2 linked regions of the Caenorhabditis elegans genome follow. The protein of the gene in region 2 purifies or fractionates together with the protein of the main gene of each other region. This does not show direct contact. Each region holds a gene or a part of one and is shown on either strand. Other genes may lie near its edges.

Region 1 (3,698 bases), on a different chromosome or scaffold from region 2:
TATCAGCTCCTTCTCGAGCAGCCATTAGTGAAAGAAGTCCAGTTCCAGTACCTGTAAATAGTAAACTTTAAAAACCGAATAAGTTGAAAACTTAACAGCTAACCAATATCTAAAACATGAACTTTCCCATCTGTATTTTCATGTTTTTTCTCAGCAATCGTAGTTTTTAATCCTGCGAGGAACTTGTCATTTCTATCAAAATCCAGAATCATATCTCCAAATCGACTTCTGAAAATTAACGTTTTAAAGCAAGAAAATGCGAGAAGTATTGTTTATTAAATTTTATTTCTATGCGGAATATTTTTTTAAAGTTGAAAACCTGGCAAGTTCCTGAGCCATATCATAATCCTCTTCAGCCACAACCCATTCTCGTTCGCCGGTTTTTTGATTTATCTTCTCAAGGAACATTTTTCAGAAAACCCTGCAAATTGTCTATCTTAAAGATATGCTCGTTTTAATGATACACTCAAGATATTTGCGATATGCACACAACTGCCAATTTACCACTTTAAAATCCAAAGAAACGAAATCAAGGAACGGAAGACTTATTTTTCATATTTGTTCAAATAAAAGGGGTTCATGCAATAAAAATAGTGCAATCAATTGGGAAATTGGGAAACTATACACAAAAATGTAAAAATAAATATGAAATAAACAGGAGCCAGAAAATGGAAATCAATGGGAAAGAAGTGGTGATGGGGACAAAGTACACAATTTCGAAAAATACCGCATTTTGGTGGAGGGATGGAAACAATATTTTGATGGGCCGAGATTAAATTGGAAAAAAGCTTCTAAAAACTCACTTTTTGAAAACTAAATATCTCAAAAGATCAGAAAGCGTTACTCATTTTTTGTTATGTAAAAATATGATAAGAAAACATTATCATTTTTTAAAAGTTTCCTTCTGTTTATTGAAACAGACAGCGTTAAAACTATAACTCTGGGTATTTTGAGATTTTTCTCGTGAGCGGAGAATTTAGAAACATTTTAAAATTTAAGCGGTACGAATTTTGCCAGGCACGTAGTTTTTGTCAATAGTTGGCTCCTGGAGGAAAATATGGAGAGAGCGTTCGTTTTGAGCAAGTGGATGTCCAGCAACCCTGCAAGAACATATTATTAAAACTTTTAGAAATGTGAAAATTTTCTGAGTTCATTTTGATGTCCGTATAGTTGAACAGTTTTACGTACTTATTGATGAATAACTCGAGAGCTTTGCGCCTATTTTCAATGAATTCCTCTTCAAAAATTCCATCATCGGATCGGAATGGCAGTTGCCGTTTGAATGATTTTCCTGGCAACGTTGGAACCACAATCTTGCTATCTCGCTCTAGTTCAGCACGAACCCATTCGAAATCACTGTATCGGCGACGCACGCTTGATTCTTTCTGCTTGAAAACGGGGAGATTCGACTGAAACAACGATTTTATTATGCGGTCAGTGTTAATCTATACTTACTCTCATTCTGATTTCGTAATCCGTGTAGCGCATTTTTCCAACACCATGAGTGATAGGATTGATAACCTGCAAGTTATCTTGATCTAATTCATTGATTTTTATTCAAACCTCAATTTCAAGGAAGTTGGCCGGCGGGGCATATGCCTCGTCCAGCGTTTGCCGTTTTGAAGGGATCCGCTGAGTTGCCGACGCGCCGGATGCCATTTGCACTGCAAATATTCTAAATTATATCAAAGTTGCTTTGAATTGTTTATTTAAGTATCGATTTTCACAATATAAACAAAATAAAAGTGAAATTTATGTTGGAATCCAAAGCTTTAATCGACAACATGCGAGAACATCGTTTGCTTTTTGTTTCGCTGTTCGGCAAACTAAAATGGAAAAAATAATATGAAGCTGTGAAAAATCAATAAATAAAACTGGAATTTCAAGGAAATTACGGCAAAAATGACTCATCGCGCGCCGATAAACAAAACGAATCAAGAAATGAAAAAAGTGGCAAAAGTACGCAAACACTTTTGTGTTAATGCACACAAAAAATTCAACCGTACCTCAAACTGAAATTTCAAAAGCAGACACCGCAGATTCATGGAATGAAAAAGCAGTGACTCGCTATGACTCAAAATTTTAAAAAGATTATAATTGATTCAAAAGCAAAAAAATGTTTCACAACAAATCTATGTTGTAAAATAATTGTTAAATTGAAAATTAATAGCTGACACCGCCCTGTGTCCGTGTTTCGTCTTCTTCGAAACTTTGTTTTCGTTCAAGATGGCGCGGCGCCGTTCTTTTTGAATAAAAAGAGCATTTTAAAAATTTTGTTGAATTTCTGTAAATTCTACTTGTTTATTCAGTTGTTCTGCGAAATTAAAGATTTTCTTAGTTTTCAGGAATGCCAAAAAAAACGTTCGAAAATTTAGAAGATAGTCATGGAAAAGATGTTAATATCCCAGTTGAACTGCCAAAAAGGAAACGAGAAGTTACACCGGAAAATTTGTGAGCTTTTATAAAAAATTCAAATTTTAACACATACCGTATTCCCTCTATTAGTCTTGCATGCAAGACTAATAGAGGAAATACGGTAATAGTCATGCACCCCTATTCTTGCCAGGCCAGCAGTATTTTGTCAAAACTTCAAAATTTTCGCCATTTTTTAGCTAAATTAAATTTTAAACTGTTCAAGTAATTGATAAAACAATAGAAAAGCATGTATTTTGCATGATTTAGACTGTTTCAAGTCAAAATTTTGACGATAAATGGCCAATTTAACAAAGCTATTGGATCTTCGAAAATTAGTCTTGTAGCCTCTAATAGTCTTGCAGTCCCTATTAGTCTTGCACCCCTACGGGTCTATTGAAAATTAGTCTTGCATGCAAGACTAATAGAGGAAATGCGGTATATTATTTTCAGACCTTCCACAAGCTCTACTGCTCCAACACAAAAACGGAAAAGTCTAGGATATTCAGGACGAACGGAGGAACCGAAAAATGTATTAATATTTTTAGTTGCAATGAAATACAATTCGGAACTTAATTGTAATTGTAATTTTTAATGTTTTTCAGATACACAAAACCTTCATTTCCCCTTTTTCTACGTCAGTTTCTCCTTCAAAACAAGGTCTTCGACGACGAAAGAAGGCACTGCCTGCCATAGAACCACCTGTATCTGTAGAAGAAGCAAGTCCATTACGTTTTGTGAATATCGATGTATTCTCTAGACGTATGGCTTCCGAATCATCAGATCACGATGCTATGATTGCGAAGTTGTTGTCGAGAAAGTTTTCAATTCCGATGGAGGGATATATGTGTAAGAAAACATGTAAAAATGTTTATTTTAAACGAGTTTTCAGTATCTGGTCGAAGCCTAGGTCTTGGTGGAAACCGTCGAAAATGTGCTCTATTTGATCCATATCATGAAGGTGCATTGATTCTTTATGCTCCTGAACATCTTAGTGAACACGCACAACTCAAGGAAGATAAGGATCGAAAGGTGAGAATTTTAGCTGCGAGAATCGAAAAAAAAACATGAATAAAAAAAACGACTCAAATATTGCAAAAATATGAATGTCCATTTTATCAAATTTTTCAGGTGCACGTGGTAGCCGATCCGGTTGTTGGAAAAATCCTGCGTCCGCATCAAAGAGATGGTGTTAAATTCATGTGGGATTGTGTGACTGGTATTAATATTCCCGAATTTCATGGATGTATTATGGCTGATGAAATGGGTCTTGGAAAGACACTTCA
Region 2 (3,928 bases):
CAAAAATTTTCGACAAAAATTTTTTTTTTGGAGGGATTTTTTTCCAAACTTTTCTTGTTTTCTTACATTGTGTATTAAACTAAGCAAAATCCGCACACAAACCTCAATTGAAACCTGAAAAGAAGCGAGATCTGAAAAATGCCTGAAAAAATTGGCTCCGAGTTAGGGCACTTCGGACGGCCAAAAAAAATTTGTGACTATTTGCAAATGAAAGATCATGGTTGATAACATAAATTCCCACAGTTTCATAAAAATCGATTCGCAGCGAACAAAGTTATGATTTTTGACCCGGAACTTATTTGGAGACCTAATATTTAGTAAATTTTTTTTTGCTTTAAATTTCATGAAAAACAGTTGATTTGTGCGTTAAAAACAAAATGACAAAATTCGTTAAAAATGAAGTAGTTTCATTGAAAAGTGCGAGAAAAAAATTGGAAGCAGACGCGAAAATTTGAAAAAAAAAACTACCATAAACCTTTTTTGCATATTTTTTGTTTTTTGATCAGAGCCCTGATCGAGACACATGAATAAGTCCGTGCGTCTTTAAGACGGAATGCTACCGTTTTTTGAAATTACGATACATTTTTAACTTGTTTTTTTAAATAATTAAAAAGATAATACATTCTATGTTTTTTATTGATTCATTTTATAATTTTCGTGCGAATAATACTCACTGATCAAATCGATCGGGTTGAACTGGTTGCATATCGATGGTATGATTTCCAGCGGCCACCTCCTCGTTCCAGATTGGAATTAATTTCTCAATATCGTTTTCAGTGACTCCGGTAAGTTTATTTTCGCTGGAAGCGCGGAGCATACTTTTCACGAGGAAATATGATGTTGGAACGATCCGTTTGCACTTTCTCACAATTTTCTTCGCCGTGAAATCAGAGTTGAGCGTTTCGACAAATGATGGATATGAAAACGTTTCAAGCACGAATTCTTCATCTACCGTAACCACTGTGCTCGTCTTTCCGGTTTCCGATTCTTCTTCATTCAAGCAATCCGGGCTTTTAGCTTTTCTTTAAAAGAAATATTGGGATGAGACTTTTAAAACGATTTAACTTACACTAAATAAGCATGGCCATCGAAATCGAAAAATGCGTAGCCAATCCATCCGTAGATTGCTCCAGAAATAAATCTGATGTGGTGTTTACGGCAGATATTGTTCACTTTTGCAGTACGTTCGTAACTCTCGTCGAGAACAACAACCAACGTGAATTTAGTCAAATACTCTTCGATTTCCGAATCATTTTTCGATAGAACATCTTCCTCGACGATGAAAAGTTTCACATTGCGGTTCAAATTATAAAGAAAATTGTATGATGCCGCCCATTTCTGAAAACAACGTTCATAAGATATGTATAATTCGAATTAATTACAAACCGTCATCTTTGAATTATCAACCGAAGCGTCGTAGAGAAAATTCATACCAATTTCTTCTGTATCAACAAGCCGATGATCAACTAAATGCATCTCGTCAACACCAGCGAGTGACAGAGTTTTTGCCACTTCCGCACCAAGCTGTTTTCCACCAATAATCAAAACTTTAGAGTTTCGGATTCTGAAAACGAAACAATAGTATTTTATTCGAAAAAATTTAAACTTACTTATTTTGAGCTTCCATTCCCCATAAACGAATTTGTCGATCGTAAATCGCCTGTTCAGCTTTGCTGACCTCCATATTTTCTTTTGCTTCGGACATTCTGCAAATTATGGCAATCACAAAAAATATGAAAACATTTAGCAAAAATGGTTAATATGAACGGCAAGGTGAACCGAATAAAATCGAGAAGAAGTAAAATAACGATATTTAAATAAATACACAATTCATTAGACCAGAAATTAAACAACGAGAATGAAACGGGGTGAGTTTTAGGGTGAAGAAAAACTAGGCACATGGATCCTACTGGCACAGTAATATAGAAAATTAAATCTGCGAAGTTGGAACGTTAAGTCATTAATAAAAGAAAAATGTGAGCAGGTGATCATAGTTTGCAAACAATGGCAAACAACTTTGCCGGGCTTTACAATTAGAAATAATCCAGAAAAATCATGTTACAGTATACATCCTAAAGATCAGAGCATTACGCTTGACGACAATAAATAAGATTAAGTGAACAATAAAAAAGAATAAGAACCTAGTAAAGAAAATTTAAGATACCCGAAGTGGAGTGGTTAATTTGCATTCTGCCAGGCATATGTTGGGCGATGATAAACAGAAGTACTGGCAGCTGAAACCCGGTATGACGGGGATGTGATATTCGGTGAACGAAGTTGTTGTTCGCCTAAGTAACTTGGAAAACTTTTAGAGACATTTTCTTAGATTAAATAAACTCACTATTACTGTAGGTACTTGATGATCGTGAAGGTGGAACTCCATTCAAAGCATCTGAGCCGTATCCATATGAAGAAGTCATAGCGGACGTAGATCCAGATGGTTTTTGACCTGATTCCGGACTTGCTGTTCCTGGTGAATTGATGCAATCTCGTTTTGGTTGATATCTGCCGGGGCGGCCCCATGTGCAGATATATCCCTCTTGACAAGCAGTCACAACACAATCTTCTCGGAATTCAAGAACTGTCAGACGATCATGCGATACTTTTTTGCACATTAACGGTTCTGAAAAATATTTCACAAGTGCTTTCTCGTTCATTTTGTCTTTTTTTTCGTGATAGAAAAATGATTCAAAAATTTCGCGATTTTCCGGATCTGACTAGTGAATCGTATTTTAATTTTAAGTATAAGCTTACCGATCATAGGAACATCTCGAATCCCTGGACAAAATTTAGAACCCAACATCCGCGTTTCGTTACAGCAGCTTATTTGAGAAATTAGCCCGGGGTTTTGTTTCTTGGAACTGAAAATTAACATATTATTATAAATTCTGAATAAATCGACATACCTTTCAGAATTTACTGATGCACCATTCATCAATGTGCCAATTTTGTGGCCACCAACCGGATTTGATGTAGCACTGGAGCTTCCAGAAGTAAACTTCGAAAATCCTAGACGTTTTGTAAATTTCTTCTTTTTTTGTTTTTCTGGGCGAGGAGTTGTGTGATTATTAGTTATAGACTGTGAATCAGAAGATGCATTAACACCAGCACCACCAGGAGAGACTTCCTGAAGATCTTCAAGTCTTCCAACTAGAGAATTCGTCTGTACTTCGAGGGTAGTCATTGGGGCAATTATTGTTGAATTTCGATGACGTCGAATGTTTCCTTGGTTCAACATATCTTCTGTTATATCCCACAGGCATAGAAATGTGTCGTGTCCAACACTTCCTATTCGATAACGGACACTGTTTCCAGCTGGAGCTCCGTTGATAGTGTTAAACGAAGCAAGTGAACAACGAGAGAATGTTGAAGTTGCATTCATCACTCCAGAATTCAAATCTGCACTAGTAGATGGTACTGGTCCCGAACGTATTGAGAAATCCTTTGCAACGTCGTCAAACGTAGATGTCATCGCAATACCATTATTTTCCAGATCTTCTTCGGTTGTGCATAAATAAGGATCAAACTTGACCTGACTAACCCAACTTTTGTGAGCTTGTCCTCTGCAAACTACTCGTTTCTCAGCTACACTATAAACTGTTAGAAGATCATCTTCGCCGCCAGTGGCAATCAATTTTGCATCAGGGCTCCATGAGAGCGTAAGCAATCCACCTTAAATTTCATGAATATTTGATTTTTTTCGAAGATAATGAACCAACCGAAATATGATTTCATAACTGCCAGCAATTCTTGTGCATGATAATTGAAAATCCTGAGGAACCCATCATGTGACACCGTGGCCATCATTTTCCCATCTGATCCAGAGAAACTGAACTGGTGAATTGAACCTTCTCCAATTTGCCACCTGGTAACTGGATTCCGCTGAACTTTGCCTTTCCACGTGTGAATCGCGAACTTGTCACCCTGC

What was found.
Region 1: the proteins of aos-1 (region 2) and snx-3 fractionate together in Caenorhabditis elegans (co-fractionation; one large-scale study listed by BioGRID). This does not show direct contact.

Annotation. Positions count from the first base shown.
Region 1 is NC_003279.8:9,062,740-9,066,437, forward strand, and holds snx-3 (Sorting nexin-3), read right to left. Parts: upstream 1,665-3,698; 5' UTR 1,660-1,664; coding exon 1,564-1,659; intron 1,522-1,563; coding exon 1,456-1,521; intron 1,410-1,455; coding exon 1,189-1,409; intron 1,101-1,188; coding exon 995-1,100; 3' UTR 539-994; downstream 1-538. Other genes in the region: prmt-7 (Protein arginine N-methyltransferase 7), read right to left, coding at 1-51, 104-228, 320-408; rad-54.L (DNA repair and recombination protein RAD54-like), read left to right, coding at 2,348-2,451, 2,866-2,944, 3,018-3,261, 3,305-3,444, 3,544-3,698.
Region 2 is NC_003283.11:10,128,590-10,132,517, forward strand, and holds the start of aos-1 (SUMO-activating enzyme subunit aos-1), read right to left. Parts: upstream 1,707-3,928; 5' UTR 1,706-1,706; coding exon 1,611-1,705; intron 1,565-1,610; coding exon 1,387-1,564; intron 1,339-1,386; coding exon 1,070-1,338; intron 1,023-1,069; coding exon 675-1,022; intron 1-674. Other genes in the region: wdr-20 (WD repeat-containing protein 20 homolog), read right to left, coding at 2,179-2,288, 2,342-2,623, 2,755-2,861, 2,907-3,672, 3,720-3,924. UniProt on the Caenorhabditis elegans protein: The dimeric enzyme acts as an E1 ligase for smo-1. It mediates ATP-dependent activation of smo-1 and formation of a thioester with a conserved cysteine residue on uba-2.